2 linked regions of the Mytilus edulis genome follow. Each later gene encodes a partner of the first gene's protein in a complex. Links are inferred from orthologs where the notes say so. Each region holds a gene or a part of one and is shown in the gene's direction. Other genes may lie near its edges. The genes, in order: queuine tRNA-ribosyltransferase accessory subunit 2-like and queuine tRNA-ribosyltransferase catalytic subunit 1-like.

The links.
Region 2: the proteins of queuine tRNA-ribosyltransferase accessory subunit 2-like (region 1) and queuine tRNA-ribosyltransferase catalytic subunit 1-like are in contact, whole or in part, in a crystal structure (PDB 7OVS), measured with the Mus musculus proteins. The link is inferred for Mytilus edulis from reciprocal best matches to the Homo sapiens genes QTRT2 and QTRT1. Residues at the interface, in NP_001343258.1 of Mus musculus: Arg39, Thr40, Gly41, Ser42, Ala43, Pro44, His45, Leu46, Thr47, His48, Gln49, Thr50, Asn53, Glu70, His71, Glu73, Val74, Glu77, Tyr78, Phe85, Ile86, Gly87, Phe119, Gln342, Glu343, Phe345, Tyr355, Asn359, His360, Ala363; in NP_068688.2 of Mus musculus: Thr50, Thr53, Met54, Lys55, Gly56, Ile57, Thr58, Thr59, Glu60, Gln61, Ser64, Arg80, Pro81, Leu85, Lys88, Ala89, Phe95, Met96, Asn97, Ala307, Lys308, Phe310, Pro320, Thr324, His325, Ala328, Phe329, Ala332, Leu333, His335.

The regions. Positions count from the first base shown.
Region 1 is NC_092345.1:2,450,587-2,463,025, reverse strand, and holds the start of queuine tRNA-ribosyltransferase accessory subunit 2-like, read left to right. Parts: upstream 1-7,298; 5' UTR 7,299-7,381; exon of another isoform or gene 7,382-7,489; intron 7,490-8,723; exon of another isoform or gene 8,724-8,775; 5' UTR 8,776-8,814; coding exon 8,815-8,932; intron 8,933-9,301; coding exon 9,302-9,383; intron 9,384-9,851; coding exon 9,852-9,915; intron 9,916-10,594; coding exon 10,595-10,699; intron 10,700-11,994; coding exon 11,995-12,165; intron 12,166-12,439. Other genes in the region: negative elongation factor E-like, read right to left, coding at 3-150, 895-949, 1,517-1,588, 2,111-2,179, 3,242-3,300, 4,139-4,211, 6,992-7,072. UniProt on the Homo sapiens protein: Non-catalytic subunit of the queuine tRNA-ribosyltransferase (TGT) that catalyzes the base-exchange of a guanine (G) residue with queuine (Q) at position 34 (anticodon wobble position) in tRNAs with GU(N) anticodons (tRNA-Asp, -Asn, -His and -Tyr), resulting in the hypermodified nucleoside queuosine (7-(((4,5-cis-dihydroxy-2-cyclopenten-1-yl)amino)methyl)-7-deazaguanosine).
Region 2 is NC_092345.1:52,173,292-52,185,622, forward strand, and holds the start of queuine tRNA-ribosyltransferase catalytic subunit 1-like, read left to right. Parts: upstream 1-6,175; 5' UTR 6,176-6,206; coding exon 6,207-6,428; intron 6,429-10,320; coding exon 10,321-10,389; intron 10,390-11,285; coding exon 11,286-11,424; intron 11,425-11,984; coding exon 11,985-12,063; intron 12,064-12,331. Other genes in the region: dolichyldiphosphatase 1-like, read right to left, coding at 176-276, 5,957-6,062.

The DNA.
Region 1 (12,439 bases):
ACTTTTTGTCTTTCTCCATGGTGATATGTGATATAGTACCAATATCTTTGAAGGCTTTTCTAAGAATGTCTTCTGAGATGCCATTACCATTTACATATATTGTATGTCCTTTCTTTGGCGGTGGTTCCCTCTCTCTCCCTCCTTCTCTCTCTGTACAAATAAAGTTATATTTGAATTTGGTTAATTAAGTGATTATCAATTTTTGTGTTAATACATGTAAGTAGAAATAATATTTGTTCCTGTTTGAAATTGAAAAAATACATTAAAACTATCAAACAACCTCCTTAAAATGCATTTGTTTGCACCAGTCCTAAGTCAGGAACCTGATGTTCAGTAGTTGTCATTTGTTGATGTGGTTCTTAAGTGTTTCTCTTTTCTCATTTGTAATATAGATTTAGACCGTTTGTTTTCCTGTTTGAATGGTTTGACACAAGTCATTTTTAGGGCCCTTTATAGTTTGCTGTTCTGTGTGGGCCAAGGCTCCCTGTTGCAGACCGTACTTTGACCTATAATGGTTTACTTTTACAAATTAAGTCTTGGATGGAGAGTTGTCTCATTGGCACTCATACCACATATTCTTATATCTATAAAAAAAAAAAAAAAGACTGAGTAATGTATTTATATTTTTGAACCATTTCTTATATATATGCATTTAGAATTCAAACTTTATTATCTAAAAAAAAGATATGAAAAATCCATTAATGGCAGATTTTGGTCAAATATGACTATGATGTTATGAGTGACATAACAAATGATGTTTTAGACCAGATTATATTGTCCTAATAATAGAACTAACGTAATATTGAAAAGACTAGGTAATTTTACTACTGATATTTATGCAATTTCAGGGGCCAAATAACAGGCTTTATTATTCTTCAATTAATCATAACTTACCGGTACCTCCACTTACAAAGGTATCATATAGACCTCTCGCTCTTGGTCTGTTCTTCTGAAATGGAACATATAATTAATTGTCATAGGTGATCACATTTGATAAGATATTTCTCCTCACAAGACAGTGACCTTTTGGGATTTAAAAATGAGGCTCGTTTATTGTTTAAAATATTTAAATCAATTTACACGAGATAGGGTGGTGCAATCTGTTTTTATTATGATATCCAGAAAGATTTGAAGGACATTTTATTATTCTTTTTCATTCCAGAACCCACTTTTGACAAGTCCAACCCCTAATGATGCCTTGATGAAACCCTCCTTTTTCAAGTTCCTTTGATTCCCAACTGATTTTATAAACATGTATGGCTCTCACCAATGCCTTTACAGCTATTCTAAGGGTACTGTTTAATCTTTTATATATTTTTTAATTCACTTTTTGTTTTCTGATGTCATAAATCAGATTCATTTTCCTTCTAAAGTTTCTAAACTGTTACTATGTCAACAATAACTTTACTTTTTGTCTTAAGGTACAGACATATTGAGAATGATCTAAATTCAATCATGTTCCTTCTAAACTGTTACTATGCCAACAATTATAAATATAAATCTTTGACCTTATTACCTCCTTTTCTTCCTCATCCTGGTGTGACGATGAGAATGGTTGAAATCCCACAGCTGGAATCTTCTCAGAGTCCTGTAGAAAAAGACAGATACTGTTTTGTTGAAATGACTTGCCACATACAATTCTTTTTTTATGATTTTTTTCGTTTCAAACATTTTTCGTTTTTTTACTCTCAATTTTATACTGTTATGTTACAGTTCAAAATCTGAAAACCAGGAGAAACTTGTCCTCGTCCTGTTTGAATAATTGTACACAAATAATCTGTATAAAGCAAAACCTTTCAATAGTTTGATGTTCATCTATATATTATTACTTTCTAGTTTGCCTTTGTATTTGAACTATTGATTGATTCTTAAAAGAGTAGATGTCATTAGCCCATAATTTACAACCCATCTGTCAATGTAAATAAAACGCCACACTTTCCTCTCTTATTATTCCATAGTTAAAAAGTTTATGTTGAAATTTAAAAATAAATCATTAAGTGCATAAGATCTACCCATGCTCCCAATGTTTGACACTTATCATGAGACAGAAACAGCATGCCTAAGTCATGTTTCAACATCTGACATGTCGGAGTGAGGCAAGACAACTTACCTTTCTCTTTTCAAAGTTCTTTGATCTTTTAAAATTCTGCTTTTCCTGACTTTCTTTTATCTTAATTGCCTTTTAAAAAACAAAATTTCTGTTACAAATATTGCAGTTTTAAAATTTGTGTTAATCATTGTATATCAATATAAATTCAAATCATTGCCCATTGGCATTCTTTATTTTTTTCATTTGTATGTAAATTATATGGTACACATTTCAAAATATATTATTTTTGGCATACTGCATATCTGGACGTTTTTGCATGCCTTATTTTTCATTTAAATACTAATATAAATAATCATATATATCATAGTACTTAATTTTCCTACCCAATTTCAGTATACATATGTAACCACATATATTTACAAATGTACTTAGACCGTACTTTAACTTATAATGGTTTACTTTTACAAATTATGACTTGGATATAGAGTTGTATCATTGGCACTCATACCACATCTTCCTATATGTATTTGTTTCTTAACCCAAACTTCAGAAAATTGTAGTATATGTGAATAATGACCCTGTTACTCAGTGGTCTCCCTTTGAGGCTCTATGTATATCATATTTGTTTTTCATTTACTGTTTTATACATAAATAAGGTCATTTGTTTTCTCGTTTTAATTTATTTACATTTGTCATTTCCCAGTCATTCATAGCTAACTATGCAAATAAGATTTAGCTCATTGTTGAAGGTCCTATTGTGATCGATAGTTGTTATATTGCTTATCATTTGGTCTCTGGTGAAGAGTTGTCTCATTGGAAATCATACCACATCTTCTTATAGATACAGATACAGTGTAACCTGCATTATCCCACAAATTGGGAGACCAGAAAAAAATTGTCAGATAAAGCAGGTTTTTCCTGAAAGGAAAGGCATATTTTTGGACCATAAAAATGTGTCGTTATAGCAGGATGTTTGAATAGTTAGGTGTCGGATTAGGCAGGTAACACTGTATAATAACGTGGTATTCAATTACCAGTGGCGGATCCAGTACTTTTCCTAAGGGGGTCCGCTGACTGACCTAAGGGGGGCCTGCTCCAGTCATGCTTCAGTGATTCCCTATATAATCAACCAAATTTTTCCCACAAAAGGGGGGCCCCAGGGCCCCCTTGGATCCACCTACAATTACCTACCCCTAACTTCAATAATTTTTTAGCTTGTTGTGTGGCATCTCCTGCATTTTCTGGAGGCGCTACAATAAAATCAAAATGACTAAATAATGCTTTAGATTTAATTCATTCATTAAAAAGTGTATTTTAAATTTATCTTGATCATGTTGATCAGGATTATAATTTTCTTCTACTCTATTATACAGAAATTTAATTTTCAGGTGAGCAAATTTTCAAAATATGCCATACATTTCAATTGTTTAATGGCAAGTCATAATACTTCATCTTAACAACATTTCAGAAGCTGACTAAGTTTATGATCTATACACAGTCTTAAAAGTACTGGTATCTCCTTCAGCCAACTTGGCTTAAGTTCATCTCCTTTAAACAGGGCCTTTAATTAATCACAATTTTAATATGATTTGGCTATTATGATACATTTATATGATTGATCGAGAGGGCTTCCAGTAGTGGCTCTCGACATTATGCACCAATTAAATTTTCATTCAATGACACAAATATACAATTTTTGGTTGGATTGTTATCTCTTTGACACATTCCCCATTCCCATTCTCAATTTGAAAATCTATGTATAATAGAGGTTACAAGTGAGGAAATTAAGTTTATTATCTTAAATTTTAAAGAATTATAAGGATTTGACACCAATTTAAAGGAATTTATTGTATGTATAAACTGGGCCAAGTCACTCACAAACATATTATAAAAGTCCTTCCTTTATTTGTTTAAGAGTGAATTGGTTAAGTTTATACACCAATAAATTCCTTTAAAAAGGTGTTTAATACTTTATGACTACATAGTCTTAGTACAATATTCACCAAAAAACATGAACAAATATGGAGATTCTAAAGTTCTTAGATGGATCTAAATTTCAATGATTTTAATCTTCTTCGAAATATATACCTCGTTTTGTTGGCGCATTGATTGGTTGTTCTTTCTCTGGTTTTGGAGTTCTAGCAGCTAATAACGCTTTTTTCTGAAAATAATAAGGGATATACTGATATATCATGATTATATAAAATTGTCTTTGCAAAATGAAATGTTCCTAAATTTTCTTAATAGTTTTTTTGTTGTTGCACATGCACTTAAAATGGCAACTTGATTAACTCTGGTTGATGTTGAAGTAATAAATGCTCTCCTATTAATCATTTAAGACTGGCCTATTACTGTTTTAGACCCAATTGTCAAAACTTGGTTGATTCTGTTCCACCATCTACATGATCTTAGATTATTAGCGGATTCATCTGAAGTTTGCCAATTGAATTTAGACAGCTGCTTCAGTTCCTGTTCATATGGGATTAGTGTGACTCTGTACAAGGCATCATTCTGACTGATTTGATAATTTTCTGTGTGAAAAAATATACCAATTTACAACAGTAACACATCTATATTCTGTACAAAAATTTTTCAAAGACTGCCACATTATTGGACTGTCAAACCATAGGATTGTTGGAGTTAAGGACTGTCAGAATTAAAGGTCTGACACCATTTAAGTGACGGTACATTGAATGACCGAATAACACCATTATAATCCAAATAACACTTGTAATGAACGAATAACACTTGAAATTTTAATATATGCACGTGCATGTACATATTGGTGACTTTTAAACATTGATTATTAAATAATAGTATATTATCGATGTATTTTTTAACTTACAAATGATTTACAGAAAGCAGGTAAGTTTATAAAGATCATTTTGAATAAAGTGTGTACACCCAACATGGCGACCACAGAAATCACAATGGCTGCCATGTTAGATGTACACACAAAATTTAAAATGATCTTTATGAACTTACCTGCTTTCTTTAAATCATTTTATAAGTTATAAAATACATCAATTATATATTACTATTTAATAATCAATGTTTAAAAGTCACCAATATGAGCTACTAATATAACATAGTATTCAAATTTCAAGTGTTATTTGGATATTACAATTGTTCAGCGGATAATAACGGTGTAATTCAGTCATTCTTGTTACTCTTTAAGTGATGGATATGCCAAAGATAGTACATCTGTAAAGCCCAAGTCACACTATACCATGATCGCACCATGCTAACCAAGATCTTATATAAACAAAGATTGTGGTGAGGTTGCATTAGGAAAATGTTAATTTTCGTTATTTCATGATGAAACTACGTCCTCATTATGTTTCTACAACGATCCCACTACAATTATACCACGTTCTCACCACGCTTTTCCTACCATTATCATGATCTTACTACTGTCATCACATTCTCACTTCGACTGTACCAAAAGTTATCTGATTGCAACACGATCTTACCACACTTCTACTGCGATTAAAGCACGTTCTTAACACAATTATACTACATTCATATTGCGATCTTACTACATTCTCAGCAATAACATCAACATCCTGTTCCATATAAATACTTTTCCATTCCTTATATTTCTGATTAAAACGTAGATTTCTCGGAAAAAACACAGTCATGCCACCAAAATCTACCAGAACACATGGGCATGGTGGTAGGAGTAGATGTAGAGGCAGAGGGAGCTCTGATAGTAACTAATCCTGATCTAGCAGAGATGTCGGACCAAGCAATCCAACCTGATTCACAACCTATTGCTGGTCCATCAAGCTCAAATGACAATGTTTTAGGCAGCAACCATTTGATTTTCTGGGGGAGCTATGGTTTTTTTTGGAAAAAAAAGTTTGTTTCCAGTTTTTGGAGAAAAAAATAATTTGTTTTTGATTCTGAGAAAAAAAAAATGTTTGTTTCACCCTCAGCTGCCAGTCTATATGTAATGCTAAAATTGAAAGAAAAAAATTGTTTTCGACTTGTCGCGAAAAAAATAGATTGTTTTTCGCCGCAGGCGATAAAAAAAGGTTGTACAGAAAAAAAAACCATAGCCCCCCCCAGAAAATCAAATGGTTGCTGCCTTAGTGAACAATAGCAGGGATGACACAGATCAAGCATGGTTGAGCCTTTGGAGAAAAACAACAAAAGGTCCAAATTACATATATATAGACAAACAAAACCTGGAGGGCTTTTATGTATTTCATGTGAAAATGACAATGAGCATGATGGTTGTAGTATGAACTTAGTCAGGTTATAAGAAGAGCGTGATGATAATGGCATTGGTGTGCTAGAATTGACTATGGTCTTAAACAGCATGGTGTAAATGTGGTATAGCCATAATGGAAGAGTAGATCGCAGTGAGACTGTGATGGTCATAGTGAGCTTGCAGTAATGTTGCTGTGAGATCGTACATGTAGCGCAGTCTCTCCTAATTGAATCACGCTTTGGCTACGCTCTTGCTAAGATGGTACAGAGACCTTTGCGATCTTACAACTACCTTGCTGCACCCTCACTACACTTCTACTACGACCTGATTTCGCCTCAACAGCACCATGATTGTTTGGAACATGTTCAAAGTTGGCCACGCTCATCACGATCTTGAAGACCTTACCACCACCGTATAACGACCTTACTTAGATCTACAAGATCACACTATGATCGTTAAAATTTGCATTTTTTTTCACAGATCGTGGCCTAGTGTGACTGTGGTATTAGATATTTGCTGGTATTATCGAGGACACATTAAGGAAATGTAAATGACTATAAAAAAAAATCATGAAGAAGATAAATAATAGGAAAAAAGATGATTCATGTATGAAGCCGATTTGGCCTTGGTCGTTTCGGCCAAAAGTGGAAAACTCGAAAAGTTTGTTTGGTCATTTTTTTGTTGTTTTTCCAAGCAAACCATTGCACACGATCTTAAATGTTAACCTTTTTTCTTAATTTTGCATATTTCTGTTTGAGAATTTCTTCTTCTTCTGTCAGTGTTGGTGGAAAAATAATGTGAACCATTCTGTATTCTATATTTCAAAACCGTAAAATTATAATCTATCTATCACAAAATATCAGCTTTCGTTTGTAGAAGGTAAAAAAACATCCAAATGGGAGAATTAAATTCAAAAACATTTATCAGAAAAACTAATGGTTTTAGAAATGTTTAAATGTTTGATAACAATGGGCTTTTTTTAAATTTTCATTAATGAAACCTTTTAGAGAGTATTTATTTTTTGAGATTCATTCTTAGGAATATTTTTGTTGTAGAAATTAAGGGTCCCTTTGGACTCACTAAATACCACAAATGAAAACAAGTAAAATAGTATAGTGAGTACACATGGTACACGTAAAAATAAAGAGAAGCAAACCGTATGAAGAAACTGAATTTTAGATAATTATGTTCCATTCCAAGAATTTACAGCTTTTCTTAGAAAAGTCCTACTCTCGAAACAAAATGTCACACCCACTAACATGAAGGAAACAACTGTCAAAACAGTATACAGTCACATCTGTATCTGTCTGCCTCTCTCTCTTGACATATACTTCTTCTATATTTATAATGCAAACAGTAAGCATACAGCTATTCTGCATTTGTATTTGTCGCTATTGTCAGCTATGTGCAGGGTTGAGAGATATGTCTTCCCAAATTTCCCTCCCCCAGAAAAAAGATCTCGTCCAGGATCCTAAACAATGAGTTTTCAATTCCCAAAGTCAGATAATTGTTTATCAAGAATTCTGTAAAAATCAGATAAGCCCAATACCGAATTTAACAAAAATAAGCTTAAAAAGAGGGACAAAATATACTAGAGGGATAGTCAAACTCATAAATCGAAAAAAAACTGACAACGCCATGGCTAAAAATGAAAAAGAAAAACATACAAACGATAGTTCACATGACAAAACACGTAAAACTAAAGAATAATTAACACAAACCCCACCAAAAACTGGGGGTGATCTCAGGTGCTCAGAAAGGGTAAGCAGATCCTGCTCCACATGTGGCACCCGTCGTGTTGCTCATGTTATAACAGAACCGGTAAATAGTCTAAATTGGTAGGTCACATTCATGAAAGGGAAAGGGATTGTAGTTATGACGTAAGGAACATATCCGATATCATCTGTGAAACAGTTATTCCATAACGGTCAACCAACTCGTGATGGCATCTGTAAAATTTATGAAGCCATTTGAAACTCTTGGTTTAATAGCTTCCTTGTGAGCAGCAACCCTCTATTAAGAAAATCATGATAAGAAAAACAAGCACGGAAATATCGTACCAATTTAGGAGATATGTACCCTGTATGCAGGTGCTGCTGGAATGTTGCTACTTAGAAATGGAAAGTTCACAATTGGAGGGTTGAGTTTGAAATGGTTTTTCTGCCCAGCATTAACGCATTTACACTTTTTAGTATTTAGCTATATATAGCCTCAAAATGACCTTAAATCTACTCTGAATCACCTTTTTGACGTCAAGCAACAATCACTTTTTAAATGTGAAGTCAAATTTTTGAATTATGATGTCAGAGTTTACGGGAACCTGTGTGATTTTACGTAATGGCGTACAAATTTGCATACAAGTGTAAATATGTCTATTGTCCACAGCAATGTTTACTAGAAAATTAGGGTTTTTTTTTAAGTTGATATGATACACATACACGATATGATGACATTCAGTATTGCATCTTTAAATTTATAATATTTTATCATTGTTTTTTTTTATTTTTAGTATTCCCATCTGATTTGAATTACACAACTGTAAGAAAAAATGAAGTTTTCTGTGCAGAATGTGAAGAATGGTTGTCGTTTAGGGCTTATCACTGACCTAGGAAAGAATGGAACCAAAAGTATAGAAACTCCTATGTGTATGTTATATACCAGAGGAGGTAAGTAAATTATGGATATGAAAATAAGTAGAGTTTAAAAAGAAATTGAAGAAATTTGCAGAAACCTATATTGTTTGTGTTTTGTATCATAGAAATGAAAAGTATGTTTTTAGGACAATATTTCTGTTATAAAATAATTATTCCATTTTTGATAACTGATCCTATTTTTATTAATGACTTATAACCTACCACTGAAATAAAATTGTATGCTACACCACACTGTTATACTGTTTAGTTTCCACATTTATAATTCATTGTGTTTTCAATTCTCATTTAATCCTATCCAACAGTTTACATTCATTTCAGTGGCATTTTGTCATATATACCAATTGACATTTACATCGTGTTATATTTTTTCGTCTTTTTTAGGCAATGCTCCTCATTTGACGTTAGACGTCTTAAAGAAGATACAGAGAGTTCCTCCAATGGCTCACATGTATTTAAGTTCTCTGTAAGTAAAATAAAACGAGTAATTATAACTTTTTAAATTTCATTGTATTAGTTGAAATTTTACTTTTTAAAATGCAAAAAGCATTGTTCAGTTTTATGTTATACATTATGATTCAATTTCATAATTTTACAATGAAATTAGATGAACCATGAATCATTTTTTTCCCTTTACAATGGAATAAGCAGAGTTATGTCCCATGATCTATGATGTTCACTTTTTCATTCATGCCCTTAAAGATATTTATTATGGGAAATATGCATGCCTTAATTTGACTAAGTCAACATAAATGTATAAATTCAAGATGTATATTATGTATGGAGTATGACCTTCATTATATCTTTAATATATCCATGTAAATTTATGATGTAATATAAATGGATTGTTTTACCTGAGGGCTGTATAGTCAGTCAATGTTGTTAAAAACTCCCACCATCATCATCATGAATTGTTAATGTTTTTTTCTTCCAGGGCAGAACATAGTGAAGCTGTCACACAGTTTAAGGAAGGAATAGCTAATTTCTGTGGCATGCAGGTAAATATGGCTTCAGCTTTTAGTTCTACACCAAAAAATATTGGTCTTTTTAAATGTGAGTTCTACACAGGTAAAATAGCTATGTCCGTTAAAAATCAGTAATATGTCTGTATTATATGGAAGACTTACTGACAAATAGTACCTCAGACTTACAATGTCTGTTGCTTATAACGCGTAATACATCTATATCAACTCGTAAAACATATTAGCATAGGCACATCTAATTTCCATGGCAATTGTTTAGCCCTGTACCTTCAGTCATGGTTCATTGACTTTAAATCTTTGCATAACTTATATGTTAAAGTATTGCTATTCTTATTTCAATATTTGTATTATCAAAATAACACAAATAGGCGAGACATATATCTGTGTTTAAAGTTTATATCAATATCTACATAACCTTTAATGACAGGATATATTCCATTGATAAAAAATGCCAAACAACAGATTGCAAAACCGTGGAGTAAAAATCTGTACAGGTTTTATAAACTTGATTTTAGATTCTTTCAGCAACACATCCATTTATTTTTATTAATGGGCCCATGTTTGAAGATAATATAGGAGAAATATTTTGTTTCTGTAATTACATGAGTTATACATATGTTGAAATTTTAGTAATTTTAGGAAGTGTATGTGTATTTAAAGAAAATGTAAAACAAAGTTTATAATTTTTTTAAAGGATTTTGCAGTTTACTGTTCCTTACATGACCCAGCTACAGAGGTACCTTCGGGATACAATGAAAAATCAGGGACAGCAATCTGGACAAAGGGAGGGAAGTATAAGGTATAGCCTTTTCACCTTTATAGATACTTTGTATGTTCTTTTCTTATATATTTGATGCGTTTCCCTCAGTTTAAGTTTGTAACCCGTTTTTTTTTTTTCTCAATCGATTTATTAATTTTAAACAGCAATATACTACTGTTGCCTTTATTTATAAGCTGACTATTATTTGCAAAAAGTTTAAAAGAGCTGAAAAATTATTTGGTGTTATTTTCAAATAGAAATAAAGAAGATGTAGTTTGAGTGCCAATGAGACAACTCGGCATCCAAGTCACAACGTGTAAAAAGTAAATGTTTACTTCTAAAATTATTTTGGTTTGTTGCTGGTTTACCAGACAGAAAATTAAAATAGTGTATTTATAACAAAATAAGGCTAATGACCTAGTTTGAAATGTTATAAATTTAATTCTGCATTAAAGAATCATCTTGTTACTAGGATTATTAGGAAAGAAAGCAGGTGGGTCATTTACATAAAAAAGATATTAACCTAGCAACACACAAAAACAATGGAAACAAAATTTCTTAACCCAACAACACAAAAACAATGGAAACTGTAAATTCGGAAACTATTGCGTGTATTTATTATTGTGAATTTGTAATTTTAGACTAAAATGCGATTTTAATTGTTGCGATATTGAGCAAAATCCTGTTTTAATTCTTATAAAAAATTTCAAAATGCATTTTTAAATTATTGAGATTATAACCCTGTCACACTTTTCGCAATAATAAAAACATCACAATAATTTCTGAATTTACAGTAAATATAGACTCATTAATTTGGATTAGAAAATATGAATTTATACAATTATTTCATGGATAGGATAATCTTAGAATTTTATAGCCCTTCCTGTTCCTGGTAATTATTTTCTATTCACAAAATATAAGACTCTATTCATAAAAATGAGAATGGAAATGAGGAATGTGTCAAAGAGACAGCAACCCAACCAAAGAGCAGAAAATAGCCAAAGGCCACCAATAAGTCTTCAACACAGCGACAAAATCTCGCACCTGGAGGCAGCCTTCAGCTGGCTCCTAAACAAAAATGTGTTCAGTGAAAATGGAGTCACACTAAACTCTGAAACATATAAATGAACTAAAATTTTAAAAACATGCAAGACTAAAAAAGACTAGACGGCAGAGGTTTCTGACTTGGGACAGACACATAAATGTAATGAGGTTTAACATAGTTTATGAGATCTCAACCCTTATTAGAACAATGAGACATAGAAAGTACTGATGTATCAGATGAAAGAACCTTTACATGTATTATTATTTTTTAAAACTTTTTTATTTGAAAGTTAGATGTCATCCACTTTATGCAAATCCAGGAAGCTTTTCAACCTGATATCTGTGAAGCATTGTATGACGGGGATACAAATAAAGATTCTACTCGCAAACGATTACTGAAAGCAATGGATAGAACTTTGAACTATCTTGATGAAATTCAGGATAAATGGAAAAGTTCTCAGGTTTGTATGTCTCTTAAAGTCTTTTAGAGTAACTGTCTTGCCACTAGGTATTTACTTGTACCTTCTGTTTACTTGACACCTACATTTTTTGTCACACTTTGCATACTTTCTCTTTGCAGTGGGTGAGGGGAATTAATCGAGTGTGTTCATTATTTTAAAGAATATTATTTTAGAAACAATGAACTATAGTTGTTAATTTCTGTGTCATTTTGGTCTCTTGTGGTCGTTGTGGAGAGTTGTCTCATAGGCAATCATACCACATCTTCTTTTTAAT
Region 2 (12,331 bases), about 50 Mb from region 1:
GAACGGAGGCACAGACCAGAAAATATAATGCCCCTCTACTATCGTAGGTGGGGCATAAAAAAGAGAGAATATAGCCAGAGTGGGCACAGGTAGGCTGTCCTCTGTGGGCAGGTGGAAAAAGCAAATCCACTAGGGGCCTAGGGCTGTTGTGTATGTACACAATTCATGTACTTACCGTGTGTAAATCACGTCTAAAAATAATGAGAGCAGCAAATCCAACACATACAAAAATTGGAACCAGACTAAACCATGCTAAAACATATCCAATCAAATCTCCTGGAACAGAAATATGAAAAGGTTTTAATTACGGTACAAAAAAATATTGCATTCATGATTTATTTACATTGAGTACATTTTGTAAGTAAATTATCATGTCATTTGCATGTCAAGTAAATACTTGAAAAAGTTTTCCATGTTTAGTAAAGCTGTAAGGAAAGTAAAAGTCAAAGTTGAAAGGCACTTAATTCTGTATTCGGAGCAAACATTACAATTTGATTTATATTTTTTTAAAGTTTTTCAATTCAGTCCCTTGAACCTTATTTTTCAGTAAATTTTTAAATGAATGTTTTTGAATTTGTGTTCGGTGATATAAATGATAAATAAAGTTGTTCCATCCCCAATCTTTTTGTAATATACATGAAAACATGATAAACGTCAAATTCTTTGCATGACGCACACTTTATTTGGCTTCAGTACATGTTTTTTGTTCATAAGTTAACTAGTGTTGTCAAATTGAGCATTTGAACCTAGAAGCGATTACTAGACAATCCTTTGACTCATTAACCATTTAACCTGTAAAAGAGTTGATATTCAAGGACTGGTCTTGTTTACAGTACAGTACATGTACAACAGGTTGAAGTTTTTAGACATTTTTTAGCATTTAAAGGTATGGCCATAGGTGTTCGAGATAAGTATTATTCAGTAGACTTGTATCACTTATAAAGAATTTGTGACCATTGACCCCAGAACTTCACTCTTGAATTACTGACATAACAAATGTACATGATGTATGCAACAGCCATTTTTCTTTTGTGGTGACAGACAATTTTTTTTTTCTTACAACATCAAAAGTTTTATGAGAATGGCTGTCATGTCCAGGAATGACTGACAAACAGCAATAAGGTGTACATGTACAGTTGAAGGGTAGAATTTATACTTCTCTGTAGTGTTCTCACCAGGCCAATATACAAATGATATAACACAGTCCAGCAGTGCCCTTGAGATATATATTTTTTATCCTGCAGTGCCTTAATCATGTAAAATTGACCAGTCACTTAATACTTGATCCCTCAGCGTGTTAATTTTCATAATTCAATTATGAAATGTAAGATAGTTTGGGATATCTACCAGGGGTCACCACACTTCAAAATTATAGGGAGAAGTCACTTCTCCCTGGCAGCCAAACAGGGAGAAGTGAAGACCCAACAGGGAGACTTCAGGGAGAAGTGAAGGCCCAACAGGGAGCCTTCAGGGAAAATCAACAGATCGCGTTTATACTTTTTATGAATAAAATTTTCTAAGAATCTATACCTTTTTGCTACTTTTCTAATCATTTGTGATTGACAATTGCTAAGGAAGTACATTTTGTAAGTCCTTGTCTTGCCATGCTTGTAGTCTGAAATACTTTTTTATTTACATGTGTACCTATGCAAATTGTCACAAAATATCATGACATAAGGACCATAAGTTAATGGCATAAGAGCTACATGTATGTTTATTCTGGTAGGTCTAAATGAATTGAAGATTTGACATGGATCAAATTATGCTGCATTTCAAAGACTTTAAAATTAAACTAAGTCCAAGAACCTTTTAAAACAAAAATAATAATCAATTGAGAAAAGTTAAAATATGGTTTCAATGTCTTTCATAGCTAAGATCATGATTCAAAAATGTATTTGTTCTTAAAATAATATGTTATTAGAATTCAGAGAGAAAACTGTTTGACATGTGTTGAAAACGTAAAGTAAAACTGTTTATTTCAAATCGTGTATATGTAATCGCACATGTTTGCGATATTTTCATGGAAATGCCGATTTCCAAAATCAAGTTGCCGTTAGAAATGTATGTAATTGATTCTAAAACACTTCACGAGTGTTTAATATGACTAAATCACAAAAAGTAACATCGGAAAAGTCGTATTTTTCATAACCCGAATTGAATTGGTACTTGTAAATTAAAAACAAATACGGTGCGATCCGCGTCAAAAATTCTTACTTTATATTTTTCAAAATATACGACTTTGGAAGTAAATATTGCCGTTCCTAATCAAATTCATGAGCAGATATTCATTGAAATACTGTTTAAGGACCTTTAGCTGAAACAAAGCACATGTATCAGTCTGTTAAACAAAATCCTGAACAAAAAAAACGACTGCGTTATAGTTTATAATCGTTGTGCTGGTTCCCGGCAGTGTACTAAACTACGTACGTAGTAAAAATACAAGCAGATACCAGTTGATAATATTCCGTTTTTGAAAAGAAATCTAAAAATTTTTATGGGACATCACATATTGTCAGTAAATATAAGAAAATCAAAATTAATAGTGCATATCAATATGGATTAGGTAAACGATGAGAGTTGAAAAGATGAAATGGCGCCATCTACAATTTTCAATAACAAAGATGGCGGACAATTAACAATCATAAAAAAATCGAGATTTTTCTTTTTTCTTGCTTATAGTACACCCGGGCAAGCAATTTTTATGTTGAAGTATGATACTATCGCGGAGAAATCAGTTCTGAATTTGAGGAAAACATGCTTTGTATTTCAATACCTATCAGTCGTTTACGTTTGAATCGAGAATTTCTCAAAAACCATGAGGCGACATTGGGGAATTTTACTGAAAATCGAGGGCGACATAAACTTCTCCCTGGAGCTTCTCTAGAGCGAAGTGGGGAGACCTAGAGCGACTTTGTCGCTCACTTCGCCTGGTGTGGTGACCCCTGATCTACTAGACTGTAAAATTTCTTTCTTAGAATTAAAGATTTGTTAAATTCTTTGTCATTTAAAAAGAAGAACTAGAGGCTCTAAAGAGCCTGTGTCGCTCACCTTGGTCTATGTGAATATTAAACAAAGGAAGCAGATGGATTCATGACAAAATTGTGTTTTGGTGATGGTGATGTGTTTGTACATCTTACTTTACTGAACATTCTTGCTACTTACAATTATCTCTATTCTTGCTACTTACAATTATCTCTATCTATAATGAACTTGGCCCAGTAGTTTCAGTGGAAAATGTTAGTTAAAATTTACAAATTTTATGAAAATTGTTAAAAATTGACTATAAAGGACAATAACTTCTAAGGGGGAAAATTGATCATTTCAGTCATGTTGACTTATTTGTAAATCTTACTTTGCTTAACATTATTGATGTTTACAGTTTATCTCTATCTATAATAATATTCAAGATAATAACCAAAAACAGCAAAATTTCCTTAAAATTACCAATTCAGGGGCAGCAACCCAACAACATGTTGTCAGATTCATCTGAAAATTTCAGGGCAGATAGATCTTGACCTGATAAACAATTTTACCCCGATGTCAGATTTGCTCTAAAGGCTGCGGTTTCAGAGTTATAAGCCAAAATCTACATTTCACCCCTATGTTCTATTTTTAGCCATGGCGGCTATCTTGGTTGGTTGGCCAGGTCACAGGACACAATTTTTAAACAATATACCCCAATGATGATTGTGGCCAAGTTTGGTTTAATTTGGCCCAGTAGTTTCAGAGAAGAAGATTTTTGTAAAAGATAACTAAGATTTACGAAAAATGGTTAAAAATTGACTATAAAGGGCAATAACTCCTAAAGAAATCAACAGACCATTTTGGTCTTGGTGACTTATTTGTAGATCTTACTTTGCTGAACATTTTTGCTGTTTACAGTTTATCTCTATCTATAATAATATTCAAGATAATAACCAAAAACAGCAAAATGTCCTTAAAATTACCAATTCAGGGCAGCAACCTATCAACGGGTTGTCCAATTCATCTCAAAATTTCAGGGCAGATAGATCTTGACCTGATAAACAATTTTACCTCATGTCAGATTTGCTCTAAATGCTTTGGTTTTTGAGTGATAAGCCAAAAACTGCATTTTACCCCTATGTTCTTTTTTTAGCCATGGCGGCCATCTTGGTTGGTTGGCCAGGTCACCGGACACAATTTTTTAACTAGATACCCAAATGATGATTATGGTCAAGTTTGGTTTAATTTGGCCCAGTAGTTTCAGAGGAGAAGATTTTTGTAAAAGATGACTAAGATTTACGAAAAATGGTTAAAAATTGACTGTAAAGGGCAATAACTCCTAAAGGGGTCAACAGACCATTTTGGTCCTGTTGACTTATTTGTAGATCTTACTTTACTGAACATTTTTGCTGTTTACAGTTTATCTCTATCTATAATAATATTCAAGATAATAACCAAAAACGGCAAAATTTCCTTAAAATGACCAATTCAGGGGCAGCAACTTATCAACGGGTTGTCCGATTCATTTCAAAATTTCAGGGCAGATAGATCTTGACCTGATTAACAATTTTACCCCATGTCAGATTTGCTCTAAATGCTTTGGTTTTTGAGTTATAAGCCAAAAACTGCATTTTACCCCTATGTTCTATTTTTAGCCATGGCGGCCATCTTGGTTGGTTGGCCGGGTCACCGGACACAATTTTTAAACTAGATACCCCAATGATGATTTTGGCCAAGTTTGGTAAAAATTGGCCCAGTAGTTTCAGAGGAGAAGATTTTTGTAAAAGCTAACGACGACGACGACGACGGACGACGGACGACGGACGCCAAGTGATGAGAAAAGCTCACTTGGCCCTTTGGGCCAGGTGAGCTAAAAAGGTTTACATGCTTCAATTTTTGGTGCCTTAACAATTTCTTGGCTAAACACCGCTCCAGCACTATTCACCTTATTGCAATTTGTCCGCCATCACTGGACACCGCTTTTAGGTTCGCGAAAAATTTTGACATTACAGTCATGACAGTAGAAAATATCAGCAGACACAATGGAAAAGTGGTTGTTAAATGACGTCAAAAGTTCAACTGGCACAGATTCTAAGGGTCAAGCGAAACAGATTTTCAAATAGTGATAAGATGTACCCAAAGGGGTTTGTTACAATTTGCTGTGACAGTGTTTACTATCCGTACGAAGAACATTTCTGGAATAGAATGAATCGAGGACCTACATTTGAAAATGAAAGTACTATAGCAAAATCTACCGGAAAATATATTTTCGGCACTCTCTGGAGTTTACCATAATATGACAAAGAAACACAGTGTGTACCTAATAACTCCCGTCATTTTGACATTATTGAAACCTAAAATACAGTGGACTTCCAAAAAACGTGACAACTATCGTAAACTCCAGAGAGTGCGGAAAATATATTTTCCTGTAGGTGTAGCTTTAGGACTTTCATTTTCAAATGTAGGTCCTTGATTCATTCTATTCCAGAAATGTTGAGTTTGTTTTAAGGATTACAATAGTTATAGAGGTTACTTAAGGGAATAAATATATGTCATTGAAGATATACATGTAATTCAAGTGGGAAGAGATTTATTCAGATCACAATGTAAGTGAAAGTCTTAAAAAAAAATTTTAAACAATAATTTGAAGCATTGTGGCAAATGAGCTTCCTCCCTTGTGATTTTTTCGGGGTTTGTATGGATAGTAAACCCGCAAAATGATTTTTTGTAACAAACCCCTATGATGTACAGTCAGACCTGGACCTCAGAACAAATTGAATGTTTTTCAATGCAATATTCTTAGGCATGTTAATGTTACAAGTACCAACTTTCTCATTGGACTTCGAAATTTTGTAAATAATGATATGATTATCTTCAATTTGGGATAATGTAGGCATTAATGTATCAATCAATATTGTTAATTTATGGGCCTATATTCATTTTAAACGCGGTGGTGCTGTTTTTCATTACTGACATTAGCTCATAACTAGACCTTTAGGATATTCCACATGAGTTAACGATATAGACTTCCATTGTATGGTTTGTGTGCTACTTTCTAAGACATCAGGTGCCAAATTTCCAGTGTTGACATCTGCCATATTGACCGGAAATCGATTGCAACGCAAGCAGCAGCCAACCGACTAATCGCCAAAAGAATGCAATTGATTGGTTAAAAGCAAAACGAAAGTAGGGTTTGATTGAGAAATGAATTTTGATTGGTTTGAATAAAATTAGAAACAAACATGACTTCCAAAGCACATGCACTCTCACTGAAAATCTTAGCAGAATGTTCAACAACAAAAGCCCGAGCATGTCATATGACACTTCCCCATTCTATTGTAGAAACTCCTGTTTTTATGCCAGTTGGTACACAAGGAACGCTGAAGGGTCTGTTACCTGAACAATTAGAGGAGCTAGACTGTAAAATCATGTTAGGAAATACTTACCATCTTGGTAATAGACCTGTAAGATGTTTACTATGTTGAATGATACAACATTAATTTGAAACCAATCAATATCTTGAATAGTGATTGATCATTTAAAGAGTTTAAACATGAGGGATAATAAAGACATGAAAGACATTAAGGATGTACTTAGGTGAGGTTAGGTGAAAATTAATAAATCAAGAAGTTAAAATTGATTCTATAAGCTGGTAGAGCATCAATTAAAGGGATAATTCGCGATTTTTCACTTTTCATCTTATTATGTTCATAATACCATAAAAAACATATTCACCAAGTTTTATTTTGATATGAAATCTAATAAAGAAGAAAATTGGGAATTATTAATTTTATTTTTTGAAACTTCCTGACTTATGTGACGTAGTTAAGTCTTTGATGCATGCCGGGAGTGAAAATATCTCATTTAAGTCTTGTTCGTTAACCATCTAATAACGCGATTTAAAGCGCATCGACGACTTTTGGTGTAGCTATTAACCAACGAAAAATAAGTGATAGCCATGCAACTTTTAAAATAAGATCGTGTGGATTTTTTAAAACGAATTTTAATAATAAAAGTAAATCATACAATAGAACATTTTTATGATTTTTTTTCTAAAAATACTTTAAACAAACATACGAAACTGACATGATCGATAGTGTATTAAAAATACATGTTTGTATTCTGACCATTGTGCTTCATTCCAGCAATCATTTTCACTTGCTTGTACGGGTGGAAACAATAAAATGTGTATTGTTTTGTGACACCTAAAGAATGTGGAATGCGTAGTTTAACTCAAGGTAATTAAAAGATTAGCATTATGTAATTCTAATCTTTTGATCCTCATTCAGTGAAATCTAGGCGTCACGGTTCACTGGCATTTCAGGTGTGAACAACATTTCGTATCAATTGTAAACGGGAGTCGGACAAAGTTTCAGACACATGAATGTAAAAAAAAATAATTAAAATTAATTAACGGGAATAATAAGATTGCACAATAACTGGATAGCTGTTGTATATTTTTATATTTTGCATAAGATCACTTTTAATGAATTATGACTTTTGATTACTTTAGTAACGATAAAATACTGAATTATTTTAATTGAAGAATTTATAAATAAAAAAAATAGCCTTCTAAACACGAGTTTATGAACTAAAAATTGTACTTTTTCAAATTAGGAACGGCAGCCTTAAATATTTCAAACAGATCATTAACAATTGTAATTATATAATTTAGTCCATCCATAGTGATCTTTAATTACCTATTTAGGAATTAAACTGCTCATCAAAATATTTTAAATCTCGCAACACATGAATACTTCAGATATTTGAAAAAAGATGTTTTAAAAAATTGACAGGAAATTAAAGGATCTAATTGGAATGGAATAAACAAATTACGAACAGATATGCTTTTCAAGTGTGAAAAACATCAACAAAATTTATACATAATCGGGAATGTCCTTCTTAAAATACTCTTTGTCTCACACCGTAACTATATATAATACTTTAGCTATTTGACCAACGATGTATTAAAAAAAAAATGAACGAATTAAATGTCATCTTTCCCAATTTTTTAATGTAATTATAAGTCTGTTTCAACTGGCAAGAATACCACTAAAACGGACAAGCAGTTTATTCTTTAAATTGCTGTCATTGAATATCAAGAGAGAAAATAAATCCCCAAATTGATTTGAAACTTTGATACTCTATAGTTTTCCTGGAAAATATTCACATCCCTCGGTATTAGTGTACTTCCAGTTGCGTATATATTACATGCATGTCGGAACAATTGTGATGATGGCGAATTTCTTCCTTTTTTCGAGATATATTACATTTTACCAAATTTACCCTTGGAAAAAATACGTATATAGATTTTTATTTCATCAAATCTGTTTTTTTTTTTTTTGGTATTATTTATATTTTTATAAATAATTTTCTTTTCACCAGAAATGTTATTCATAAACAAGCGTATGAGTTTAGTAATATCACTTTCGGACACGCAAGATAGAGATGTATATTATACACCTAATAGTTCAAAATGGAAAGTTATAAGTTATCGGCCGTGTACACTTATCAATACACTATGAAGTGAAACGATGCATGAATTTGCAAACTCGACAGGAAATCGCTTAAATACCTGGACGTGTCACCTCACACCCCCTACAATATCTTTGGGAGTAATACCTTTAGCCATGCGGGTGATCAGTGGAGCGAAGATCCTAATTTATTTGAATAAAGTTTATTACTTAAAAGAATTATGAACTAATTAGATTTCCGAAAACAATTCAAGTTTCACGGAAGACTTATTTATGATTTGAAATTTTGACTTTTTCACTATTAAATTCCTATATTATCAGTCTAAAAATAACAGATCATGGTTATTTAAAAAAAAAAGAAGAACATTTTCCGTATCAAGTTAGTTAACTAGTTAACTAGTCGGATAAAACAACTGTACGATTGACGAGATATCGACACACAATTACGACTACATCGGGTTACTGTGGTTTTGGTCCTTAGACATATCGTGACTGCAAATCGGAGAAGGTGACAAAATGGCTGACCTCAGAAAATTGATACTCTAAATTTAAAATCGATGGTGATCTCTTATCTAGCAGAATAAAACTTTAATATCTATGAATTTGAGCATTTTTATACAGAATAAACATAATATCAATTTTTGATTTTTTTGCGAAGTTTCCCTTTAAGGATAAAAATAAGCTAAAAATATTGATAGGTCATGGACCTCATTTTCGACATCTTTGAGATTTAAAATATGGCGGGAAAAGGCTGACTCTGACTTTTACCTTATATTTGCATTGGTATTATTAGGTCTCAAAACAAAAGAAAGAAAATTAAGAATCTTCTAAAATTTTGGTAAATGACCTTTCATGAGCTATTAAGTCTTATATGAAAAAATAAATGGGTGTTATGGGGCAAAATATTTTACATTGTATTGTATGGAAAAACACCAAGGAATCCGAACATTTGACACATATTCCAAAACCTCGCCTAAGTACATCCTTAAATTATGAAAGAGGGGACAAGTCCTACAAAACAAATTATACACAAAAATAAAGACTGTGAAGCCCTTATCCCTGTAAGCATGTTTGAGTTTATGTATTTGTCAGTGAACAGCATGATTAGCCTTCCAAATATGACAGCAAGACGAAGGTTTGGAACTTGGGACCTCTTATGCAGATTGAGTTCTAATTTAGGTAGTGATTAACCTACTATTCTATTGGTATGCCCCTTTTTAATGCAGGGACAATTGCAATTTTTCTGTTTCAGCATTATGACTTAAAAAAATGTACGTTTTACTCATCAGGCTTATCTAAATGTTATGAAACTTGTACATACATGTAATTATGATAATGCTAAGAACCTACAATCATGATAAAAGCAGACAGAAATTGGGGTAGTGAGTCATTTTGTGTGTTAGAGTAATGCCCTTTATTAAACCAAAAATTGCATTTTTTTGTTTGTTTCAGCAACCACCCCAAAGTTTGCCCTCACCTATCCAAATTTTATGAATCTCATACACAATGCTAATAATCAAAGCATGCCCCAAGATTTCAAAATTAAGTTGATGTAACTGGAACCACACATTCTATTTTATTTGGCCTTACCATTGCTTCAAGTTACTGTATTTGGTTTGTGTATTAAATGTGGTAAGCAGATCAGTGTTACTTTTCAAATAATTTTCTAATAATTTTGACATAAGGCACAGAACCAGGCATTTACATTTGTTCATTTGTTGAGAGACTTGGAAAAAAAAAATTGATAAGAAAAATGTGGAAGTTAGAATGCATTTCTTTCATGAAAATATTTATAATTCACAGTTAATTCACCAGTATGTAACACTTTTCTTACAAAATTATATTTTCCTTTTAACAAGTTAAAGACTGATTTTTATTTCAGGGTCCAGAACTATTAGAAAAAGCTGGAGGTCTTCATAAATTTATGAATTGGAACAGATCTTTACTGACAGTAAGCTATATGTAATACATATTATTATGATTCATGTTTAAAATCCCATGATACTTTGAATGCTTTGATGTTAGCATGCCAGAGATTGGTCTATTCCATTGTTATATCAAACATCTAACTGTTAACATGGTTAAATTTTTAATTGCTACTACTTTTCTAAGCACTGGTCATGTGTTTATATGAGATGACACATGTTCTTGTCAACTGTTATATATGTAGTGTTACATGGTGATTCAGAACTTCAAAAATCTGGAACAAAGTGTGCCTTATGTACAAAGAATGTTCATATTCATATAACATTGATATGTTCTTGTCTTGATCATGTTGATTATGGCTGGAAGATAGCTTCCTAATATAAAACATGCACTTACTGAATAAAACTTAAAAATAGAACAATATAATTATCATACTTGAAACATGTTTTGGTTTATCACTGGCATTTATTAAATGTTGTGGAATGATATACATCGTGTACATGAAGAAAGAAAAATGCACAAGTTAAATTTGTATAGGATTTAGTTCAAACTCTTTTAATGTGTATGTTAGTTGTGGTTGCATAGAACAGTTCATCTGTAGGCTTTTAAACTTTCAGTATTTAGCAGGTTTAAGATGTTGATGACAACACATAAATAAAAAGAGTGGTGCTTGATTTTTCTCTGTTTTGATACATGTATCTTTATATTGCAATGTATAGTCAATATTGGTAGTCAATAGCTTTTGAAGATTTCTTCTACTTTCAAAATTGTCTTTTATTCAATAACTTCAAATAATGTCAGTTGTAGTTAAATGTATCTGTAATGACCATTTATATTATTTTTTTTGTGATCTGCAAATGATTTTTTTCCTTATTCTTCCAACTTGTCATTATTCAATAAGAGTTTTCCTTCTTTTTACAGGACAGTGGTGGATTCCAAATGGTTTCCTTACTAAAATTAGCTGAGATTACAGAAGAGGGAGTTAAATTTCAATCTCCCCATGATGGATCTGAAATGATGCTCACTCCTGAGAAGTCCATTGAAATACAAAACTCTATAGGTTGTAGTTTATTTCTGTTCATATAAATATGATTGATTCTAATCAGTATTATCATTCTTATAATCAGTAAACGTTGCAACAATTATGTATGAAGTTTGACTGCTATCAACTTGTTTTAGACATTTATGTGAATGAAAAAGAAAGGTAACTCTGGCATTAAACCAATTTGGACATGTGAAAGTCTAAACATGTTTTGACTTAGGGACACCATCATAAGTTCAATGTAGGATAAAAAACTTAATTCACATAGTTTTTTCACTGATGCATGTTAATCTTAATATGCCCTATATTCTTTGAGGATGGATAAAGGTAATCTTCCTAAATTTTCAAATAATGAAATTTCCACTATTCTTAATATAAAATTACTGTCAAATTTTATAGTTAACTTACCTCCCTTTGAGCACATCTTTCTCATTTTGCCACTGTTTTTAAATATTTCTCTTCATCTTAATACATTTAACCTTGTTTTTTAATCTGACATAGAAGCTTTAGGATATAATTGTAATTGGAATTAATGATTTTTAAATATTTTTTTTTACATTTAAAGCCTTTTTTTACAGGAGCTGATATAATTATGCAACTTGATGATGTTGTACACAGTTCTACAACTGGAGAAAGACTAGAAGAAGCCATGTGGAGGTAGAATTTATTGATTCCATCACATTAATTACTGATACCGATATTGTTTGTAGATAATAATGTAGGTGTAGGAATAGCATGTAGGAATTCATACAATTATTAACCACCAGCACACTGAAAAGGTCAGAAGGAAAGGAAAATTAATGCTTTGACATTTGATTGACTCCTAATATCTTCTAAAAATATCAGCAAAAACACATATATTTAGAAAGTTTTGGTTGAGTGTCTATTTGTGTATTAAGGACTTAAAGGTCATGCCTAATACTGT